Linked DNA regions of Bombyx mori. The protein of the gene in region 1 binds, or shares a complex with, the protein of each later gene. Links are inferred from orthologs where the notes say so. Each region holds a gene or a part of one and is shown in the gene's direction. Other genes may lie near its edges.

What was found.
Region 2: THO complex subunit 6 (region 1) and THO complex subunit 2 share a complex: the UniProt entries of both Homo sapiens proteins name them as parts of the transcription/export (TREX) complex. The link is inferred for Bombyx mori from reciprocal best matches to the Homo sapiens genes THOC6 and THOC2.
Region 3: THO complex subunit 6 (region 1) and ALY share a complex: the UniProt entries of both Homo sapiens proteins name them as parts of the transcription/export (TREX) complex. The link is inferred for Bombyx mori from reciprocal best matches to the Homo sapiens genes THOC6 and ALYREF.
Region 4: THO complex subunit 6 (region 1) and SAP domain-containing ribonucleoprotein share a complex: the UniProt entries of both Homo sapiens proteins name them as parts of the transcription/export (TREX) complex. The link is inferred for Bombyx mori from reciprocal best matches to the Homo sapiens genes THOC6 and SARNP.
Region 5: the proteins of THO complex subunit 6 (region 1) and THO complex subunit 1 are in contact, whole or in part, in a cryo-EM structure (PDB 7APK), measured with the Homo sapiens proteins. The link is inferred for Bombyx mori from reciprocal best matches to the Homo sapiens genes THOC6 and THOC1. Residues at the interface, in NP_001334633.1 of Homo sapiens: Leu57, Ser58, Ser59, Glu60, Pro312, Glu313, Lys315, Thr330, Asn331, Gly333, Tyr334, Ala336; in NP_005122.2 of Homo sapiens: Ser227, Pro229, Ile230, Asp231, Tyr232, Leu234, Arg236, Val270, Ser273, Tyr274, Asp309, Leu312.
Region 6: THO complex subunit 6 (region 1) and THO complex subunit 3 share a complex: the UniProt entries of both Homo sapiens proteins name them as parts of the transcription/export (TREX) complex. The link is inferred for Bombyx mori from reciprocal best matches to the Homo sapiens genes THOC6 and THOC3.

Annotation. Positions count from the first base shown.
Region 1 is NC_085116.1:3,183,656-3,187,747, reverse strand, and holds THO complex subunit 6, read left to right. Parts: upstream 1-1,433; 5' UTR 1,434-1,610; coding exon 1,611-1,714; intron 1,715-1,796; coding exon 1,797-2,186; intron 2,187-2,311; coding exon 2,312-2,474; intron 2,475-3,226; coding exon 3,227-3,547; 3' UTR 3,548-3,592; downstream 3,593-4,092. Other genes in the region: serine/arginine repetitive matrix protein 2, read right to left, coding at 366-604. UniProt on the Homo sapiens protein: Component of the THO subcomplex of the TREX complex which is thought to couple mRNA transcription, processing and nuclear export, and which specifically associates with spliced mRNA and not with unspliced pre-mRNA.
Region 2 is NC_085119.1:9,008,740-9,012,239, forward strand, and holds part of THO complex subunit 2, read left to right. Parts: intron 1-21; coding exon 22-242; intron 243-508; coding exon 509-677; intron 678-750; coding exon 751-864; intron 865-1,487; coding exon 1,488-1,599; intron 1,600-2,350; coding exon 2,351-2,435; intron 2,436-3,052; coding exon 3,053-3,122; intron 3,123-3,355; coding exon 3,356-3,425; intron 3,426-3,500. UniProt on the Homo sapiens protein: Component of the THO subcomplex of the TREX complex which is thought to couple mRNA transcription, processing and nuclear export, and which specifically associates with spliced mRNA and not with unspliced pre-mRNA.
Region 3 is NC_085114.1:10,512,187-10,516,266, reverse strand, and holds ALY, read left to right. Parts: upstream 1-1,294; 5' UTR 1,295-1,351; coding exon 1,352-1,555; intron 1,556-2,205; coding exon 2,206-2,422; intron 2,423-2,500; coding exon 2,501-2,695; intron 2,696-3,327; coding exon 3,328-3,476; 3' UTR 3,477-3,580; downstream 3,581-4,080. Other genes in the region: replication factor C (activator 1) 5, read right to left, coding at 203-267, 356-390. UniProt on the Homo sapiens protein: Functions as an mRNA export adapter; component of the transcription/export (TREX) complex which is thought to couple mRNA transcription, processing and nuclear export, and specifically associates with spliced mRNA and not with unspliced pre-mRNA.
Region 4 is NC_085113.1:6,731,124-6,733,797, forward strand, and holds SAP domain-containing ribonucleoprotein, read left to right. Parts: upstream 1-1,290; coding exon 1,291-2,082; 3' UTR 2,083-2,174; downstream 2,175-2,674. Other genes in the region: S-adenosylmethionine sensor upstream of mTORC1, read right to left, coding at 2,206-2,674. UniProt on the Homo sapiens protein: Binds both single-stranded and double-stranded DNA with higher affinity for the single-stranded form. Specifically binds to scaffold/matrix attachment region DNA. Also binds single-stranded RNA. Enhances RNA unwinding activity of DDX39A.
Region 5 is NC_085117.1:15,880,659-15,884,918, reverse strand, and holds the start of THO complex subunit 1, read left to right. Parts: upstream 1-1,460; 5' UTR 1,461-4,260. UniProt on the Homo sapiens protein: Component of the THO subcomplex of the TREX complex which is thought to couple mRNA transcription, processing and nuclear export, and which specifically associates with spliced mRNA and not with unspliced pre-mRNA.
Region 6 is NC_085132.1:2,065,620-2,069,756, forward strand, and holds the start of THO complex subunit 3, read left to right. Parts: upstream 1-1,337; 5' UTR 1,338-1,433; coding exon 1,434-1,652; intron 1,653-1,797; coding exon 1,798-1,919; intron 1,920-2,274; coding exon 2,275-2,410; intron 2,411-3,613; coding exon 3,614-3,717; intron 3,718-4,137. UniProt on the Homo sapiens protein: Component of the THO subcomplex of the TREX complex which is thought to couple mRNA transcription, processing and nuclear export, and which specifically associates with spliced mRNA and not with unspliced pre-mRNA.

The DNA of each region.
Region 1 (4,092 bases):
AAAAACTCACAGCACATAAAATTTCCTATGATTACCTACTGCTATCATCAGTTATTATAACTCATTAGTAATATTATTAGCAGACTGTCATAGTTGTTAAAGTAATCACGGTTTCCTTGAAATATGAAGAAAAAGCCTAATAATATGAATATTAAATTACCAAACAAAATTAAATTTAGAAAAAAAATATATAATAATTGGAAACCCTGAAAAAGGTAGCAAGAATTACAAAATAATGTTGATTTATAAAGCCCAACGTGTGCCAACCTCATATCATAAAAATTTAAGAGACCATCCCCGGAACAAATCTCCAATACCATGAATCCGATTTCTGTGTATTTGTTGTATTTATGCTAACTACTCACCCTTGTTCTTCCAGGCTATCTTCCAACTCTGCACACTTGACTTCAATCTTCCTTTTCCTCTCATGATCGAGTATTTCTCTATTTGGTTGTTTGTTTGACGCCGAATCCAACTTGGCGATCTCATCTTCAGTCCGGTAGTTGACGGAGTCTTTTGTTTTTCTTACCGTGGCCCAATTTCTCTGTACGTAGCCATTTGTACCGGAGCCCCGTGGCGTCGTCAACCCGATCCCATTATACATTATTTCGTATTATATACCTAAAACCAATCGTAACACTTACGGTGTGCAAATTGAAGGTTCTGAATTAGGCCACGAGATTAGAAACTCCCAGAAAAGTTAGTAAAATAATCTATAAATAACAATTTCTCTTTCAAAAAATGTATCAACGTTAATGATCAATAACTCACAATATTATTAGATTATATGTTTATGTTTAAAAAGAATTGAACACGACCATCTTGCTTGGTTTTGATTTTTTTAGATTGAATTATTCATAGACAACGAAATGGCTATGAATTTAGATGTTTCATTTTATCTATAGTTTTTAACTGACAATGACAAAGTCAAGCAAATCAATTGGAACTTTAGAATAACTTTTCTATTTTGAGATCGCTAAACAATAAGATAAAAAGCATAATTTTTGAATAAAAATAATACATGTAACATGATTTAATGAGTTTTCGGCAAACAAAATGAAATATATGAAAAGAAACTTAGGCAAATGTCAATAAAACCACAATATTTTTGTTTTAGATAAGAGTACATAATAATATAGTGTAATAAGAGTTTTAGTAAGAGTAAAGTGAAGTACCTATTTCATTTTATTAAAATGTTTCTAACCTATAATAGTAATGAGTCAATAAATTAATACGTGATTTATTAAGTTGATTTGTGGAAAGATAGCTTCGTCTATATAGCTTCCTTTGTTAAAAAAATAACCTTAGGTCTTACTAAATTTCTGTTCTTATACAGGGTGAATTTGCCTTAATTTTATCTCAATTCGTCATAAAGAGCTATAGAGCTAAATCATTTTGGTTTTTTAAAATAGAGCATGGACACTGTTCCCTTTGCCTAAAGAGTGTATGCCGCAAAAAAATCGCTGCATTCGAAATAGAGGTTATATGTAGCTTTAAATTGTGTTGTTTACCTATGGTTGTTTATGTTTCTTTTTCAATTAAAATATTGCATGGCATCTAGAAAAACTGACGAAGTAGTCTAGTTTCTGAGCAAACACAAAACTTTTACCATGTTGAATAAAATGTTGTATAACACTGTTTTATCTCAGACTTTATCGCCGTGTGGTAAATATTTAGTGGCCGGCAATATTTATGGAGATCTTGCTGTATTTGAGTATGTTATTTGTATTAAATTTATAGAAGTATATTTTAATATTTGGAGAGGTTTATAAATTCATTCTAAATTTTTGTTACAGCCTAGATCGTATTTTAAATCCAGTACTAGAATTATTATCTGTTGAATACAACAAACCAAAACATATACATTCTATAGATTCAAAAAAACAGATTTGTAGTCTAGTTTCAACGGAAAAATTCCTTATAATTGGTACCGTTAATGAAATATGCGGATGGGACTGGAAGGCTGTTGTTTCTGTTAAATTATCAAAACCTGTATGGAGCATAAAGATTCCTTCCCAAACTTTTTTGGACTACAACGATGTGAACTGCATGTGGCTATCTCAAGACAGTGAGAAGCTGTATGCTGGTTGTGGAGACAATAATGTGTATGTGTTTAATTTGGAAGATGGGAGCCTTATTTCAACTTATAAGGGACATAATAATTTTATTCATTCTATTCATGGAAAGTAAGTTGTTTGTTTGTTTATTTGCCTTATTTCAGCTGCTAATATATTTGCCCTGACAGTGATATACATATATGCTTATGGCTAATATTACAGTAATAAAGAAGTTATTTAAAAAAAAATTTCAGAAACCAACAGATTATTTCAGCAGGCGAAGATGGTTTGGTTATGCTTTGGGATACTAGAAGTGGAAAATCACACAATAAATTGGAACCGCACACTAATAATAAGGTCAGCAGACCTGATATTGGCAAGTGGATTGGCTCAGCAGCTCTTGGAGATGACTGGATTGTAAGTTCATCTATCATCAATCTAATTATTCATACATATTATCATTAAAATGCCAGAGGTGAAAATAAAAACAAAAATGAAAATCAGTGAAAAAATTATTTTTGTTTAATAGGGAATTTACATAATAATATTGTGACTGATATTTTTCTGTGTGTGTTGTAAAAGGCGATTTATTTTATTTAAAACCCTCTTAAGCCATCAATAGCATTCCTAAGGAAAGTTGTGTCGAAGTCGTTGTGGCCTAAAGGATAAGATGTCCGGTGCAATCATATCTAGCAATGCAACAATGTTAGAATCCCACAAGCCAGGTATCAATTTTTCTAATGAAATACGTACTTGACCAATGTTCACAATTGATTTCACGGTGAAGGAATAACATTGTGTAATGAAACTCAAACCTGCAAAATTATAATTTGCATAATTACTGGTGGTAAGACCTCTTGTGAGTCTGCACGGGTAGGTACCATCACCCTGTCTATTTCTGCAGTGAAGCAGTAATGTGTTTCGGTTTGAAGGGTGGGGTAGCCGTTGTAACTATACTGAGACCTTAGAACTTATATCTCAAGATGGATGGCGCATTTACATTGTAGAATTTTTTTTATTGCTTAGATTGTGGACGAGCTCACAGCTCACTTGGTGTTAAGTGGTTACTAGAGCCCATAGACATCTACAACGTACTGATGTCTATGGGCTCTGGTAACCACTTAACACCTGGGTGATAATTAATAATGGAATATATAAAAAATTTACAGGTATGCGGTGGTGGACCTCGATTGTCTCTGTGGCACCTTCGTTCATTAGATGCAGTGACAGTCTTTGACATTCCAGACAATGGGATTCATGTGTCATTCTTTCATGATGACTGTGTGTTTGCCGGTGGTACTTCTAAACATTTTTACCAAATGAGCTACTCGGGTGAGGTGAGAGTAGAACTACCAGTGTCTGCCACGACCATATACAGTGCGGTGCTAAGAACTAAATACAGCACCCTGTTAAGTTTAGCCGGTTCCAGTCCAGAAATAGATTTGTGCACGTCTCTTAATTACAAAGATCAAGTTTTACATTTTCGATAGTTATAAGCATATTTAGGTGGAAAAAATTAAATGAAATTAAATCGAGACCTAAGTTTTATTATATGAGTCGACTATTATCAAAGCCGGTAATGTGACTTTTGGAAAATTATTGGTAAATCAGAAAAATGAATTATTGACTTTGTATTCCATTGGTAGTCACAAAACTCTTATGAGCGACATCTTAGATAAATAACAGGTTAAGTATTAACCTTTATTTAATGCAGGTTTTGAACCGTATTCTTTGAAGGAGACTATTATATTCAAATCAATCTGTATTGACATATCAATAACATTTTTTTGTCCAAATGCACAGATTGCCACCTTTGATAATAGACGACTAATATACAGTATTTACTAATATTATGATAAGTTCAGTAAAATTTACTCTAGGATATTTAAATAACTTAATTTTTCATTTTCTCAGTCACCTGTACATATTTTGAGCTTTTAATGGACAATGTAAAATATGCATGTATGCAACATTAAAACATCAATAAAGTTTTTTGGATAACAATATTTAACCAATTGCGCCCAGTCGGTACTTG
Region 2 (3,500 bases), on another chromosome or scaffold:
GAAAAATGAATTTGCCCGCAGTTGTTTTGCGACATCACGTATTCGGTGATGTCTTGCACGGAGGCGGAGGCGGCGCGGTACGGCACGTTCCTCTGCAAGGTGCTGACGACCGCCATGCGCTGGCACGCCGACAAGGACGCCTTCCACCGAGAGTGCGCGCACTACCCCGGCTTCGTCACCAAGTACCGCGTCTCCAAGCAGTTCACTGAAGCTAATGATCATGTCGGATATGAAAACTACAGGTGGACTACATTTCTGCAATACTGTGATCTGATCTTACTGCATGATTAATGTGTTTGCATGAAAATGCTTAAGTCTGAATTGATAAAGTGGTAGACACAAAATCATGAAAGCTTTCGAAAAAGCAACCGAAAATCTTCTGGTGATCTAATATGTTAATATAAACTTATATCGTTCACTCTTTGAATACTTCAAATTAATTCGTAAAAAAATCGATAACTCGTAATCGATACTTCGAATGTTCACTAATCATGTAATCGGTTTTCAGGCACGTGTGCCACAAATGGCATTATAAAATAACCAAAGCAATGGTTGTTTGCTTGGATTCAGGCGACTACGTGCAAATACGTAACGCCCTCATAGTTCTAATAAGAGTCTTACCTCATTTTCCTGTTCTGGCTAAGCTAAGTCAAATTATCGAAAAGAAAATTGATAAGGTATTATTTGGTATCGTACGTTTAACCAAATTTCCAACAAGACAAAGTAAATCTTAACAGTGATTATTTGCAGGTTAAGGAACAAGAGAAAATACAAAGACAAGATCTTTATGTGTTAGCAACGGTCTACAGTGGACAGCTACGGAACAAGTCCTCGAATATGATGAATGAAGCTGATTTCCATCAGGTAACATTTTGCTATCATCTATAGGCGGATTTGTACAAAGACAGGTTCTCGATAGTGAAATGACGACAAGTAGTACAGAAGAGACTTTCCTAATATAAACTTTGGGTTTGTCACTTGAAAGACCGTGTGGAAGCGCTGTACAGCCATTGCTTACCCTCGGTACAGTTGAAGTCGACAAGCATACTCTGTGTGCACACGAGTGATAGAACGGAAATGGCGTAATGATAATATTTTTGTTTGTATCAGAGAAACTTTTTATTAATCAAGCAGCCGTTAGTTCGAACTTTATGCTACTGAAGAACCTGTCGAGTTTGTGGCAGCAACCTGAATTAAGTGTTACTTTCGTGGTTGAAACATAAAATAAAACATAATTGTCTAAAGTACCGAATTTTGAACTTTAAAGTCTCAAATCGTTTGAAATCGATTGCCATACAAAATATTTTTATTTATTTATTTAATTTATTTATACTTTATTTAAGTTTTTTTTTAAAACCATAACATTTTGTTAGTAAGAGTTACTTATAATCTATGTTAGTACCTTAAAAATCTAACAAAATAAAAGTATGGATGAAATAATAAAGGCATAGATGATACAGCAATACAACGTGTATGGTATGTTTTAGATGAGCGACAAGCACAAAGCGGCGAGCACCGCGGCCGCCAGCGCTGCGCCCGCCAAAGAAGAAGTGGTCGCAGATCCTGAACCCGCCCCTGCACCCGCGCCCCCACCACAAGGTCTTTACACACTCCCACAGAGTTATATCTGCAGATCGGGTAGCTAGCTTGATAATGATTGTCAAATATACCCATTAGCCGCGCCAATAAAGAAACGAATCTAAAATGGCGGCGGCGATCATGCGCTCTCACTCTAAGCTATTGCTGTCTTTAATCGCACACGGCGCGTACTGCATACAAAAAAAAATATCAGTTCTGATTTTTTCTCACACTGTCTCGACGCGATCTATTTTCTCTCAAATTTGTTATTTCGTTGTTATTTTGTTATTTTTGTTAAATTTGTTATTGTTATCGTTTTTTTGCGCCACGTGTCGTAAATAATATGGCCTCTGACAAACGAGGAAAAGTCATTCACAGTGATGTAAAGTAAAGTACATTCTCATTTGTTTTTTTATATTTTTTTACAATAAACAACTTTTTCTTTCTATCTTTCTTGTTATTTGTTTACCCTACTATCTATCAGGTACATAGACGCCATTTTCGATTCGTTTCTTTATTGGCGCGGCTTATAGATGTTGTGACTGAAAGGAAAATAAATAACGGTAATGCTCACAAAAACTTTGTTTCGTAAGATAATTTGGGGAGTACACAAGTAAAGAAACATTTATTGCGCCTTCAAAATTATCCTGTATATTTGTTGAAAGATCAATTTATAAATTAAGATTGCGTCTTATGTATACGTTTAGGTATAAATTGTTACTGATTTCATGACTGGTTATCAATTTCTCATATTAGCTAAATTTATTTACAGAAAGTGAAAAACGGGACTCGCGCAATAGCGACCGCCGCCGAGACGAAGCGGACCGAGATAAAGATTCCAAAAGAGAATCAAAAACGTACGTACACTACCTTCAATGCTTTTTTTTTCTCCGCGATTTGAGGATCTTGTTAAACTTTTATTTCGTTCCGAAAAACATTTCTAGTGGATAAAAAAGTTTTGTTTTTCATAATTCGGTGTTTACTTTTATGAGTAACTTATACACTACTGCCTTTTGCGAATACTTGTCAATGATTCCTCTTTACTCATGAGCATGATTATAGTCAGACCGGTTTAAGTATAGCCACTATTAAAGAGGTAGACTTAAAACAATACGAATATATAATCGGTCGAGTAAATCAATCACCTGATGTTAAGTGGTTACTGGAGCCCATAGACAACTACAACGTAAATGCGCCACCCACCTTGAGATATAAGTTCTAAGGTCTCAAGTATAGTTACAACGGCTGTGGCTTCAAACTGAAATGCATTACTACTTCACGGCTGAAATAGGCAGGGTGGTGGTACCTACCTGTGCGAACTCACAAGAGGTCCTACTACCACTATGTATATAAACATGTCGACTTGTAAATGTCGATACCATGATTTAGGTTGGTTGATGCTCGTTGTTACTGACTCGGATCATTTAACTGTTTCTATTTCTGTTCGTGCATTTATAGTGTAACGTTTTTACAGCTCCACAAAGGAAAGGTCTAAAGAAGAAACCCGAATTAAAGATAGATCACCCAAAGAACGTTTACAGAGGGTAAGTTTATACATATATCATATTAAATAAATGGAATTTTCTTAATGTATTGTTTATACAATATGTTATTTCTTTCGAATTACTGTGATAATTTGTTCGGTTAAGTAGGTAAGTCGTTTTTTTTGGTAGTCGGCACTTTTGTGCCGTATTGGGGGCACAAAAATTGCTTCTTTTAACTAGTAGGTTGAACACGTAAGATTCTAAAGTCTAAATTATGTTTCGTACATCAACAGGAAAGCAATTATTTAGAAGCAATCTCACCGCCACACGAACATCGCAGCACTTCAGATGATGTCGAACGAGGTATTTAATTTTTATATAAATAAATAAAAATGGGTTATCTTTTATTTATATTTAATTTTCTTTTCTAATAATAAA
Region 3 (4,080 bases), on another chromosome or scaffold:
AAAAAGAAAAATCCTTTACTTTATGTTACAATGTACAAAACATACTGGTACGAAGAGGGGGTTTATGCATTAACTGTTATAAGGTATTCGTATTACGGTTAGCAACTTAATATCAACCTGATTCAAGTCCAATTTTTATAGCCTTAAATTTGATAGTCTCTTTAAAATAATGTGATCATTAGTTTCAGAAATTTATACTTACTTGTTTTTATTATATCATCATGAGATACTAAATCATCCAATCTTTTTGGGCGATATTTTTCAACCCTGCGTAAAAACAAAGTGTTAATCGTCGTAGTAAAATATATTGAGTTATGATTTTTTTGTTTAAATCATTGTTAATGATAGTTCATACCATGGCAAATTTTGGCCTGTTTCCCCAACAGTCATATTGTTTTTATAACAGTATTTTTAAATCGCTTCTAGTATGTAAGTACAGATACTTTAATAAAAACGATTTATTTAAATTGTGGATTGGTTTACAAGCTTGAGGAAACTATAAAATTCAAAATTCGAACCATAGATAGTAGTAGCAGTTTTATTCATAGATTATACACTTAATATATTATTGGAAAGGCAAAGGTATCATACCATAAAGCGTAATCTTTTATATATTTTTTATATGTAAAATGATTTATGAAATGAAATGAAGTTGATTAATATGAAACATAACATGAAATGAAATGAAATGAAAATGAAATGGAATGAAATGAAATGAGATGAGATGATATGGGATGAAATATAATCTCAGTAAAATGGTAGTCATTTACTGAGACTTTTTCAGTGGACTTTTTAGAGGATCCCAAAAAGTTATGCTCAGCGGCTTTGTTTCAATTTTCCCACATTTGTGCACTTTCACAGATATTAAACAGGTTATAAACCACCGTTATTACACATTTAAACTTGGAGAAACACTAAATAGACAAAATAAAACAAAACACACAACTTCACTCCTCGCGCCAAAAATCTCGAACCATAAATAATACACTTCTTAATATTTGAATTTTGAGTGCATTAGCATTACGTGATTTGATTACCTAGTTAAAGATTAAAACTAAGCGCTTAATTTTTTAAACAGAAAGATTTGACCAAATCAACTGGTAAATGTAAAATAAAATAAACTAAGACAGATGTGTAAGATAGTCTTTATTGACTATAATTTCTACCAAATTTAAAGCTCAACAATTTTTTTCAATCTACTGTTGAACTAATATTAGCAATCTGGCAATAACGAATCTTTTCTTCGGCCATTTTGTCACCGTCTACTTGGGAAGGAAGAGTTCTAAAAGGATTGTTTTTGTTTTTGACTTAATTTTCATAGAAAAAATATTTAGAATTTCAAATAATCACCATGGTTGATCAAATTGAAATGGCACTGGATGATATTATAAAAGCCAACAAAAAGACAAGGATTGGAGGTGGTGCTGGAAGAAAATTTGATGCAAACAAAAGAACAGGACGTGGAGGCGGTGCTGGATTTCGTAGCAACCGCTCTGGTGGTGTACAACGAGGTAGAAATCGTGGAGGCATAACGAAATCTACCAACTATTCGAGGGTAATTCCAATAATTAGATGATTCTAAAATTACAAATGGCGGGCAAATGTGACGCATCAATGTATCTAATTTGTTCTCAAAAAGTCAAGCAACCATATGGACCATCTTGTTGAAATAGTTTTAGACGAAATTTGACACTTTGATTCAAATCAAGACCCTTATTTTATTCGTATCCGACCTATTTTCAACTTGAAACCATAATCCCAGCAACCATATTGTTATCTCCATCAACGTTTTTGTTTTGCATTGTTTACCTACATCTGCCGGAAAATTCTATGATGGATGCTGATATAAAAGTGTAATGAATTCGAGCAAAACGTTACTTTTGTGGAGATGTCTACAGTGCAGTTTTGACCAATTTATAGAATTGACTTCAGGAGTTGAAAAGTAAATAAATGGACTCCATGGACGGCTGAGACTGGTTGTGCTTCATAACTTATTAGTCTTGTGTCTGTGTGATGAAAGTGATAAAACAGTTCTATATTTTAATTTTCGAAAAAAAACATGTAAACTACATCAAATGTTATTTTATCAAGTGGTTCAGATGTCAATGTATTAATTTTAGTGCCTAAGCTTTGAGTTTTTATTATATTCAAAGGAGGCATAGAGAGTAGCCACATGGCTAGCTCTATGAAGGATGACCTTTTCAGGGTGATGTGAACAGCACTTGGAAACATGATATGTTCAATGATTTTGGTGAGAGGAAACTTCAAAGAAACAGTGGGACCATAACAACTGGTCCTACCAAGCTGCTTGTATCCAATTTGGACTTTGGAGTATCAGATTCAGATATAAAGGAACTATTTTCGGAATTTGGCATCCTCAAAAGTGCATCTGTACATTATGATCGGTCAGGTAGATCTTTAGGTATGTATCACAAAGCATAAAAACTTAGTTTGTTCCATTAAGTATTTCATCATACAAGATATTTTTAAATTTTTTTAGGTACTGCAGATGTTGTGTTTGAAAGAAAAGCAGATGCTGTGAAGGCTATGAAACAGTATAACGGAGTGCCACTTGATGGACGGGCAATGAATATACAATTGGCAACATCTGAAATCAATACTTTAAGGCCCGAGGCTAGAAATCGAATTGGTGGTGCGAGTGTGGGAGGTACTATACGAAACAATCCTAAAAGAGGTAAGATATTTTCCAGGATTTGTTTGTATGGGAGGAGTGATAACAAATTACATCATTGTGATTTGTGACAAATCACCATATACAAGATGGCCTCTTAGTCGAATCAATCTGGAAACACCTAGTTATTGTCGGAAAGATACTTCAATAAGGCCATTGGTCATGATAATCGCCATATTGTTGCTGCCGCTGACTATTTCTACCCACAGCAGAGACTAACTGTTGATGTCCTAGACACATAATTACGGATCCATCAGATCCAATAACTCTTGCATTAGACACCTGCTTTAACACTAACCATACTCATTGAACTCTAAAGAGTTTGATGTGCAACCTAATCCATAGACAGACTACTGATCTGGTAGTAGATTCATTTGCAAAGCAGCTGCCCATGAATTGTGTTAGACCTCTTTCGGAGGTGTTCAACTGTTAGCAAACCCTTCTCTTCTGGCTAAGCATTCGTGGTGTAACTGGAAAGGCCTCCGGCCCTAAATCCTTCATTTAAAAAAACATTATTAAAATTAATTACTTTTTTTAAAACTGATATTTTCCCACTAGTTCTTGTTGTACATTTTCACTTTACTGTTTGCAAGTTACAAATTACTAGAAATCCATTAATTATTTTATTTTTGAAGGAGGTGGAGGAATTAGAAATCAAAGCAATAGTGGAGCACGTGGGGGAAACAGAAGAGGACGTGGTGGTGCAGGCAGAGGCAAACGACCAGTACCTACTGCAGAACAATTAGATGCAGAGCTTGATGCATATGTGAAAGAAATCAAGTGAATAACTAATGAGAATGTGCATAGACACTCAGTTTTATCTTAAAATATGAATGAATAAGCTTTGTGTTCTCAATGTTCTAGATTAATTGTAAAAGTATAGGTTATACTAATAAAAGACTACGAATTATAAAGAAATTATAATTCTAGTACATGTATTAAATTGGATAAATAAACCCAGATTTGAAATTTTCTTGTATAGATTTCTTTTTAGTCTGTAGTTGTGTACACAAGTGTAAACATTTTTAAGGAGGTTATCGTAATTCAACTGTATTACAGTGAATGCATCTGCATTCGGCATCTGCCGATTTGGAAACTGCCTAGATCTTAAGCGTATCACTGCTCCACCTCCAAACATCACTACCTGTGTAGGTTAAAAATTATACGTAGCTACTGGTGATGTTATTCGTTCAATGTGGAAGTCTGTCAAAAACAATGAGAAATACTTTTTCAAAAAATTTTCATGGTCATTACACTCAATTTCAGCACATCAACAGTCATATTTAAAGCTACGGCAACATCAAAGTTCATTTATAAAAGGAGTTGTCGTACCCCCTTACAGGGGCACGGAACGGGCCTCGGGCAAACCCCACTGCTTGGACAGAAGC
Region 4 (2,674 bases), on another chromosome or scaffold:
AAAGCATGAACGTAGTTACGACATGAACACTCTTAATATCACTTGATTAGAAATACGGCGTATAATTGGAACATTTTTTAGAGATTTTGTACTTATTAATTACATAAATGTTTTCCCTACCTATTCCAGGTTCTCGCGGATGGGTGAACTTACAACCTGCTCAATCTGAGAAAGTTTGTTAATACTAGCTCTAGCAAGAGGAGTGTTTCGCAGAATCTATCACCGGATCGGAATTTAAGCTGCCGTAATAACACGTTTAAGCATGACGAAATGAAATTCTAAATTAAATAAAATTAATCAATTCACACAATGCCGGGTTCCCGGTAAAAAAGTCATTTAATCACTTTTCCACACATTTTTTCAGAGATTGTGCTGTTTAAACTTCTACCCTCTTTTAGTCTGTCAGGTACTTACGTTGTTGTGTAAATTTCGCAGCTATTTTAATTAAGCGTGTAATCTATGCTCCATTTTACGTTGTAATCTAACTGACTTTTTGGCGGGAACGCGAGGAGTGAAGTTGTGTGATTTGATTAATTTTGTCTATTTAGTGTTTCTTCAGGTTTAAATAATAAATAATAATAAATAAATATTTACTAACAATCACGCCACGTTAACTGGTCCCGTGATAAGTTCGTAAAGAACTTGTGTTACAGGTACCAGATAACGGATTTAAATGTAAGATTTTTATTATACGCATACATATATTTAATATACATCCATAACCCTGGAAAAGACATTTATATTTATCATACAAATATCTTCCCTTGGCGGGATTCGAACCCGCGACCCCCTTGTGTAGTGACCATGTCACTTACCACTACACCAGATGGCCGTTATGTGTAATAACGGTGGTTTATTAACTGTTTAATATCTGTGAAAGTGCAAAAATGTGGGAAAATGAAATAAAGCCGCTGGACGTAACTTCTCGGGATCCTCCAAAAAGTCAACTGATAAAATCTCCGTAAATATTTGACTAAGATTTATTTCATCTCATATCATCTCATCTTATTTAATTTAATTTCATTCTGGTTGATTAATGTCTCAAATTAATCATCTTCACTTAATTTCATTTTACTCCATATAATTTTTCATAAAATTAAGAATATTAAATATTAAAGTAGGACATGACCTAAAAGTGTTAGTTACCAGGTCATAAAATCTCTTAAAAAAAGTAGTGAACATAGATTATACACTTCGTATTTCTAATTTCTAGTGTAAGCTAACGCTAAGCATCGCGTGTAAGCATTCTAAAAGTTCCTTGTTCAATAACGTAAACTACTTTTGATTACTATGGCGGATTCAACAGTTTCCGATGTGACTAAGATGAAAGTTGTTGAACTACGTAAAGAATTAAAATCACGTGGACTTTCATACGCCGGCGACAAAGCAGAGTTAATCGCTAGACTACAAGCTGCAATTATATCTCAAGATGAACACACCGACATCAACTTTGAATTTGACGAAATGGACTCGGACGGAGTTTTTGAAGACGAAGAAGTTAAAAGCCAAACAGACGTACTTGATGATACTGCCGTGGACACTTTAAACGAAGATTTAGTTCTTTCGGAACAGTCTTCTACTGCGACAATCGCTGTAGAAACAAAATCAACACGAACATTAAAACGCAAAACCAACGCAGAAACCAAAGATAAAAGTGCAGAAAATGCTAGTGCAAAGAAAATTGTGTTGAATAGACCCTCATCAATTTCACTTGTCAGTTCTAAAACTGTTGATGATCAAATTAATGAAAAATCTGTAGAGCCGAAAACGGCATCCGAAAGTAATAATGTCATTAAAATAAATACTGATCTAGATCCAAAGAAAAGGTTAGAGTTGCGTGCTAAAAGATTTGGTTTGCCTATTAAAATGTCCGAGTCTGAGAGAAAGGAAGCCAGGAAACAAAGGTTTAATCAAAATGATAATCAGAACACCTTCACTAGTACAGGGACGTTAAACGAAAATATGGAAAAACTTAGAAAGCGAGCAGAGAGGTTTGGTGAATCTGTTTCCAAAATAATGACAGATATTGAACTAAAGGAGAAATTGGAAAAACGTAAAGCCAAATTTGGTGCTGTTGCATAGAACATGTTTCTGATAATGGAAAGTCTACTCTAACAAATTAAGATTAGTATATAAGTATTGTTTTAAATAAATAAAACATTCTACTAAGTCAATATTTGTTAAGCATTTTAATTACATATTAAATCATTCGTTCATGTTATAGAATGGCAATTCTTGAAAATCATCAATTATGTGATGGATGACTTGGTTTTGGGCAGAATTTTTACTAATTTCATTAGTATTAAAATCTTGTGGTATATGTAGTGCATATTCCATAAAAGGTTCTTTATGAATATTAGCCCAGCGAATAGCTACATCTTTCAATAAACACTTTCGAAATGCCATACAATGCATGTGTTGAAATTTCTGATAACGAATTCTTGAAAAACCCATTAAGGCTAATGCATAACGCCAGCACTTCATTGTTTTGCTATTTGCTCCAACGTGTTTTGAATCCGGTGTGGTAACAGTAAGCAACCCTCCAGGTTTCAATATGTCATAGGCTTTTTGACATGCAGTTATTCGAAGCTGGGAAGTTGGAATATATTCTAATAAAAAACAAAATGTCACACTTTCATAGCTATTTTCTCCTATTTCTTTAACTTTATTGTCT
Region 5 (4,260 bases), on another chromosome or scaffold:
GTATGGAGTTGGAGGCGGGAACGGATCCCCCGGATCCGAATATTACTGAGGAGACAACTGATACGACTAACTCAAGGTTTAGCCAACCAATATTTTTCTGTGATGAGTTCGACCTTTCCAATGTATCTGAATTTGTCAACGTTAAATCGAAGAAATCCCAAAAAAAGAAACAACTTGTTAATTCTTTTAAACCAAAGATCTCGGACAAACAACTTTCGTTGCGCCCGCTGCAGCAGGCTTTGGCGGGAAATCTTGCAAATAACGTAAATAAGCTTATAGTGCCTCCTCGCCAAATTGTACAGACCTCACCAGAGCCTACTTCAGCGAGTCCTTCTATGACACCATCTGAGACCCCAATGGCCGACTCTGTTTACAGAAAAAAATACACTGAACAGGATCCTGGCCCATATATGGTCCATGTTACTTTAATCTCAGATTCTAATAGTACTACATCACTGCACCCACTTAAATTTGGAAATTTTCTAAAGAAAAGCAATCTTGGTAATATATTACAGGATGGAATTAAACGAGTAGGTCGTAATCGCCTGGCAATAACTTTTAAAACACATAGTGATGCCAATATTTTCATATCCAACATGTCTATGAATCCATTGTATAATGTAGTGATTCCTACATATAATATATGTAAAATGGGTTTGATAAAGGGTATCCCTCAGGAGTGGACTCATGAGGACATTGTAGATAATCTGCAAATCCCAGAAGGCTATGGACAAATTATCAAATCCCGTAGATTAAACAGGAAGTCTGTCAACTCAGATGGAACTTCATGGATTCCTACTCAAACTGTGGTCTTGACTTTTGACGGACAGTCTCTTCCCTCTAGAGTGTATTCCTTTTTTTCAAGTATTCCAGTTGAACAGTATATTTATCCAACGGTACAATGTTTCAATTGTTGTCGCTTTGGACACACTCGTGTTCAATGCAGGAGCAAACCTAGATGTAATAAATGTGGTGGAGAGCACAGCGGACTGGCTTGTAATACTGAGACTTTTTCTTGTGTTAACTGTAGAGGTGAACATATGGCTACAAACAAATCTTGCCCTGAGTTTAGTAGACAAACAAATATTAAAAAACATATGTCTCAAAACCTCATATCATACCAAGAAGCCTCTAAATTGTTTCCTATTGTAAAGAAATCATATTCACAAATAACATCATCTATTCCACTATCTGCCCAAAGTTTAAATGATGTAGATAGTTCAAATTCTGTCTCTTACAAAAAAACTGTTATAAAGAAGCCTAAACAGGCATCTATTTTAAATAAGGGTTATGACAAATCAGAATATAAATCATTGATCCGCAGCATTTCATTTGATGAGTCTCAAGGTAAACTAGGTTCCGCTTTGCAATCCAACAAAGAAAAGGATACACAGTTGCCATCTTCTGACACACTAAATAAATTGTTATCCACACTTATAAATATTATTGCTAATTCAGAACTACCAGAACATGTTGCTCTTTCACTTATAAATAATATTTCACTATCAATTTTCAATATTTTTAAATATGGACAGAGTCCTCCAGTGGAACTGTAAAAGTATAGTTCCTAAAAAACATGAAATTATATCTTTAATTAATTCACATAATATTTTTTTACTAGCCATATCAGAAACTTGGTTAGTTCCAGGTTCCAATTTCCGTATGGCCGGTTTTAATATTCTCAGACATGATAGACATGATGGGTATGGTGGCACAGCCCTTTTAATTCGTAATAATCACAGATTTTCTTCTTTGCCAATCCCAGCTTTTAACTCGGATATTTTACAAGCAGTGGCTGCCCGAGTAGGTGAGGTAACATATCTATCTGTGTACATTTCAGAAAAGGATTTATCTGTTCTGCCTATACTAGACAAAATCATTCAATCATTACCCAAACCAATAGTAGTTCTAGGGGATTTCAACGCTCACCACTTCTTATGGGGAGCACCCAACGATGATGGCATGGGAAATGGCTTAATGGAGATAATAAATGATCATAATCTTTGTGTTCTGAATGATGGGTCCCCCACTCGTCGCCCAGTTCCGGGTCAAGCCCCAAGTTATGTTGATATTACACTTAGTTCAGCCAGTTTGTCTTCACTGTTAAACTGGGAATGTTTAACGCTGTCCTGTGGCAGTGATCATTATCCCTTATTAATTTCCTTGCCCTCTGGTAAAACAGGCACTTTTAATCCACTACCGCCGTTATTTAAGTTCAGATTAAATAACTATGATTGGGAACTGTTTAGTCAAGAAGTCGAATCGAAAATTATGTCCCTTCCAAGTTTATCTACTCTTGATGATTATAACAACATAAACAAGGCGTATGATAACCTTATTACGGCATACTTAGCAGCTGCAGATAAACATATCCCCAAAAAGAATGTTGCCCATAAGAAAATATCTTCTCCCCCATGGTGGGACAAAGAATGTACAGAAGCTGTCAATAAAAGAAATGATGCAGAAAAACTTAATAAGCAATGTTTGACCATGCATAGTTATTTATTTTATAAAAATGTTGAAGCGGCCACTAAAAGGCTTCTTCGGAAAAAGAAAAAAGAGGGATGGAAAAGATTTTGTTCCAAGCTTTCGCCTGATTCGCCATCCTCCCTAATCTGGAAAAATATAAGAATGTTTAGATCTTCTTTTATAGCCCCATCTAGAAATTATACATCGCAAGAATGGATTAATCCTTTTTTGGACAATATCGCACCCACTATGGTTCCTAAGTTTGACCAATTGCCTTATACATACTCTTATATATCAGATAACTCTAATATTAATAATAACTTAGCGTGTTCATTTTCTTTGCCGGAACTTCAATTAGTATTGAACCGGTTATCAGACTCCACTCCAGGATGTGATGGTATTCCTTACTCTTTCTTAATTAATTCAAAACCTATAACCCTATCATATTTACTGAATTTAATTAATTCTATAATAGACACTGGTATAATACCTTCTTCCTGGAAACATCAAATTATAATACCTATATTAAAGCCTAACAAAGATTCAAATAATCCTTTATCTTATAGACCTGTAGCGTTATCATCTGTTTTGGTAAAATTAGCAGAACATTTAATTAAACAAAGATTTGAGTGGTACGTAGAACATAACAATCTTTTGCCTTGCTCTCAATATGGGTTCAGAAGAGGTAAAGGTGTGTCCGATAGCCATGCCATTTTTGCAACAGACATTTTTTTGTCTTTTTCGAAATCTGAATCGGTTGTGGGAGCCTTTTTAGATATTCAAAGCGCGTATGATAATGTAAACTTAATTAAATTAAAAGAAAAAATGTCGGATTTAAAATTACCATTAAAATTTATTGATTTCATTTTTAATTTATATACTGGAAGGACTATTTCTTTACATATACCTGGTTTTGAGGACAAAATAAGAAAAGTTTGGAAAGGTATCCCTCAGGGTTCTGTTCTAAGTCCTCTATTATATGACATTTATACTTTCGATCTCCATTTAAATGTTGATCCTTCCTGTTCCATCTTACAATATGCAGATGATGTCTTAGTTTACTCTGCTAACCGTGATATTAAAATAGCAGCGGAAACTCTTAACGATTCATTAAACAAGTTATCATCCTGGCTCTCTGCCCAAAATCTTTCGTTATCTAAATCTAAAAGTCTCATAGTTGTTTTTACGCGGAAAAGAAAAGTTCCCACCGTAAATATTTCTGTTGATGGAGAACGAATACCAGTGGTTAAAGAGGCGAAATTTCTTGGTCGCATTTTTGATTCTAGTATGAACGGTAACGCTCATATCAACGACATTGTAAGAAAATGTGAGAAAAACATAAATATTATGAGAGCTGTAAGTGGCGTTTGGTGGGGGTCTCATCCTGGTGTACTTAGGTTAATGTATAATGCTTTGGTACGTAGTATATTAGACTTTGGCTCCATAACTTTTTGTCTTGAAAACAAAGAACCTCTACATAAATTAGATTTATTACAACATAAAAGTCTCAGGATCGTTATTGGAGCCATGAATAGTACTCCAATAAATGCTTTACAAATAGAATGCTCTGAACCGCCGCTATCTTTGCGTAGACAATACCTTTCTGATAGATTTATATTTAAAATTCAACAATATCATGGACACCCTTTAATTTTAAAACTACAAAATCTTTGTGAAGTTATTAATGGACGAAATGCTTTCTGGCGTAACAGGAAAATCCCTTACTTAGTTTCTAGCTATAGAAGATTTTTAGAACTACGTTGTTCAATTCATAAATTTCAATGCCACTCA
Region 6 (4,137 bases), on another chromosome or scaffold:
CTCGCCGGATCTTCGCAGTGGGTCGCGTTTCCGATTCGCTGATAGATTCTACGAAGCACTGCTCTTGCTAGGGCTAGTGTTAGCAACGTCACTAGATTAGAAATCTCGTGAGCTCAGTTAGTCGTTCGGCAAATCTAATATAACCCCTTGAGGTTACTAGAATAGGTAAGAAAAAAAAAAAGAATTGCAGTGAAGCTTGTTCAAGTAACGATGATTGAGGTAAGCTAACATCCACTAACACGGCAGACGCATTAAAAGATATAAATTGTGATTGATGAGGTCCCAGACCATTTAAAGAGCGTATAAAGGATCTCTACCGAACGAACTTCCATTTTGACAAGCGGCTTAACACAGAAAGTAACGCTTGATACTAAAAATATATGAGTAAACTTAAAAAATAATATGTCGGATGGTTATCAGTTTACTAATTCAGAAAAATTACTCTCTGCGCACTTATGTGCAGATATTTGTGTTTATTTATTGCCTTTCTAAGTGGATGTGCATACGGCCCACTTGATGGTAAGTAGTTACCGTCGCTCATAGTCTATGAGTTATAGACATCAGGAATGCCAGGGGCAGAGCCAAGCCACGGCTTACCAAGTGCTGCTTGCTGTGTGATGTGATACATTATTTATTGTTAATGCTATTTTCGTTGTGCTTTTCCCTTTTTTTTCAGGAGGCTTTGTTGCACTGCGCGTTTATGCTCACAGTTTGGTTGACTCCAATGGCTTACTTCATGAGCCAAATAAAGGTGTGGCGACGAGAATACATGGGCAAGTGAATGACGAATAAATAATTGATTTCTTCTACTGTCTTTATTTTTAAATCTCAGAACGTATTCAGCTTCACCTCTACGCCTTAATCCATTCAACCTGGTAACAACCCGTTAATTAAATAAATGTCGAACACTAAGGTACAGTACAAGATTATAAGGTAAAAGTTCGGCATACAAATTATTTTTTAAGGTTTTCTGTAACTTTTTGTAATGTTCACCTTAAAACTTATGGAAATGAACTTTACAAAGATATTTTTAGAAAGCATTCTAAACTTTTTGCGAGAACGAGAGGTCTACTCTCAGCTTCCAAAGCAAACCCAGATCCGCATTAATACGACCCTAAAAGGTTAAAATTAAGGATAACAAAATCGCTGGACGTAGCTTCGGTTATCCCGGAAATCTCAGTAAATTCTCATCATTTCTATGAGCGCTGTTTCATCTTACTTCTATAAAATAATGAAATCATTCCTACAACTTTGCTTCTCGTGCTGCTGCCAAATAGTCTTAATTTCATACAACTTAGAGGTTTTGGCATTTATTACAAAAGACTTGCCTGTATGAGTTAGATTTCCTTTGCTTGTCCGATGAAAGGAACAGTCGTCAAATAAACAAAAAACACTAACAGGAAAACAACTAAAATTTTAATGTTAAATTTTACATGATAACCAAAGCTATGAAGGATTCAAAGCATTCGCAAGCTCCTATAGAAGATTTAAGTGAATTACGTAGTTATTTTGCGTCACACAATACTACACGCGAGTACATTGCACATTCATCCAAAGTACATTCCGTGGGCTGGTCCTGTGATGGTAGAAAGCTGGCTTCTGGGTCATTCGATAAAAGCGTTGCAATATTTAATTTAGAGAGGAGTAGATTGGTGAGTTATTGTTTATTTCAAAATATTTAAAATCCCTACTAAATTTGAGAGGTTATAATAAATTTTTTTTTGTTTTTAAGCAATAACTTAAAAATTGTGCAGCCTAGAAATAAAAATAAGTAGACACAAATTTTGTAAATTTCAGAGTCAAGATTTTATTTTCAAAGGCCACACAGGCTCTGTAGATCAACTCTGCTGGCATGCGTCACATCCTGATCTCCTGAGTACAGCGAGCGGAGACAAATCTGTTAGGATATGGGATACACGGTAATACTGGGATGTTAATTATTAGCCCTTTATAAATAAATATTAATATGAGATATCCAAAAAAAATTATAAACATCTAGAAATTTTTATATCAACACACATGAATACAATAGTTGAGATTCCATCGTATTCATAAAAGACAAGTGTTAGTTCCAAATGAACATTAATACTATTTTGCGGTAGAGAGTGTGGCATACCTTTATTGTAAATTTTCATAATATATCTTCCTGAACAAGATTGATACCATTGAGTTCAGTTGGCTTTTTCATGGTGACTTAATTTAAACTATTAATTTTAAATTTTTCTTATAATATAGAAAATCTAAGGGTGTTCTACAGGATAATAAAATTTATAGATCACACAAATGCGCGGCGACAATCCCAACCAAAGGTGAAAACATAAATATAGCATGGTCTCCTAATGGCAACACCATTGCGGTAGGGAACAAGGAAGATTTAGTTTCATTTATCGATACAAAAACTTATAAAGTGGTGAGTAATGAATTTTTACTTATATACAGTCAAAACCGTTTACTGCGACATCGTTTAGAACAACATACCGGTTATAATAACCTAGAACAAAGGTCCCGGCTGAATGCCATATGACCGCCTTATTAAAAACATTGCTTTATACGACATTGCTAATAACGACATACCTCATATAACGACCACATTTAACTAATATTTCGGAGAATTAGATCTGTTAGAACGACCAGCTAAGCTGTATTGTAAACAATTTGAATAGGTATCCACATTTGTCTTCAATGGATATTAAAATCAGGAAAGAAAACAATAGGATTTAGTTTAGTGTAGGGTCTTTTCTAATTCTTAGAAACAAAACACGTGCATGCAGTAGAGTCAAAGCCCGCTTCTTCATATCTCTTCAGTTAGTTTGTTACTTATCTATACACAAGACGCATCAAAACTTTATGGAGTTATTCGTGAAACTTTAAAAATGTCGCAATGAAAAAGAAAACAAATTAATATTGAAGAAAAATCGCGGATTATATCCAAGCTAGAGAGCGGAATTTCAAACAAAGACTTAGCAAAGGAATATGGTTATCACACTCGACAATTTCAACCATTTGGAAAGAGCGATGACGATACGTTAATTAAAATCCAACGTGAATTACAAAATATCTACGCACAGCAGAAGTGTTCCAAACAGACCAAAATTACAGATTTTATGCTCACAGAAAACTAATATGCATTGTACTTATGTGTAATAAACAAAATGTACGTTGTTGTATAAATATATTTTTCCAATAATTCCCTATCGATTTGTTTGTACTTGCACGATACACATTAAACATCACCGGTTGTTACGACTATCGGTTTTTACGACTGAATTTGAGCAGTCCCTTCGATGTCGTTATAACAGATTTTGACTGTACATACATATCTATCATCTCTCACAGCATTGATAAAAATTCAACTACATATATAAAATGTATGAAAATCATTAAAATCCACTGTCTAACTTGGTCATATTTCTTGTATCATCCAGATAAAATAGTATTATTAAGCCAATTGTAATTTTTTTATTGACACTCTTTTAAAGATTGACCAATTAATACCAAAAAATACCACTCAAAGAGGATACATACCAGAGATTCTGTCTTTTCAAATACATGAATATAGGGTGATTTGTATCGATTTAGTTACTGCATACATTAAGACATTTATTTATTGCAGGTAACAGAAGAACAGTTTAACTTTGAAGTGAACGAGATATCATGGAATAATACATCGGACTTGTTCTTCCTCACCAACGGACTGGGATGCGTACATATTATGACGTTAGTATTTTATAACATTTAATTCATCAATTCACTGCTAGAAGGAAATAGTTTCAACATTACTATAAAAATAGTTTTGTATTTGTTAGTTGTAAGTGCTGCTACTAAAGTTTGTATGTATTCTGAAGTTTACTTCATTCTTGCCATGGAGGATAGAACTAAGGAGTATTCCATCTTGTGTAGGGGACAAGTTGAAAAATGTCTACCTGTAAACAGCAAGTTACAGTTCGAAGAATCAACAAAATAACGCTAGTGTAGAAAGTGGAAATGGTATGATCCGTAAAGAAGAAATACGACAAATTATATAGCTGTGGTTTGAATTTCCCATTTTGTGGTATCATAGGAGCAGTAGTATTTAAGCTGCTTCAACTAACTAGATTGTCTAGGCACTGACACAAAGGATAGGTAACACAGAGAGAA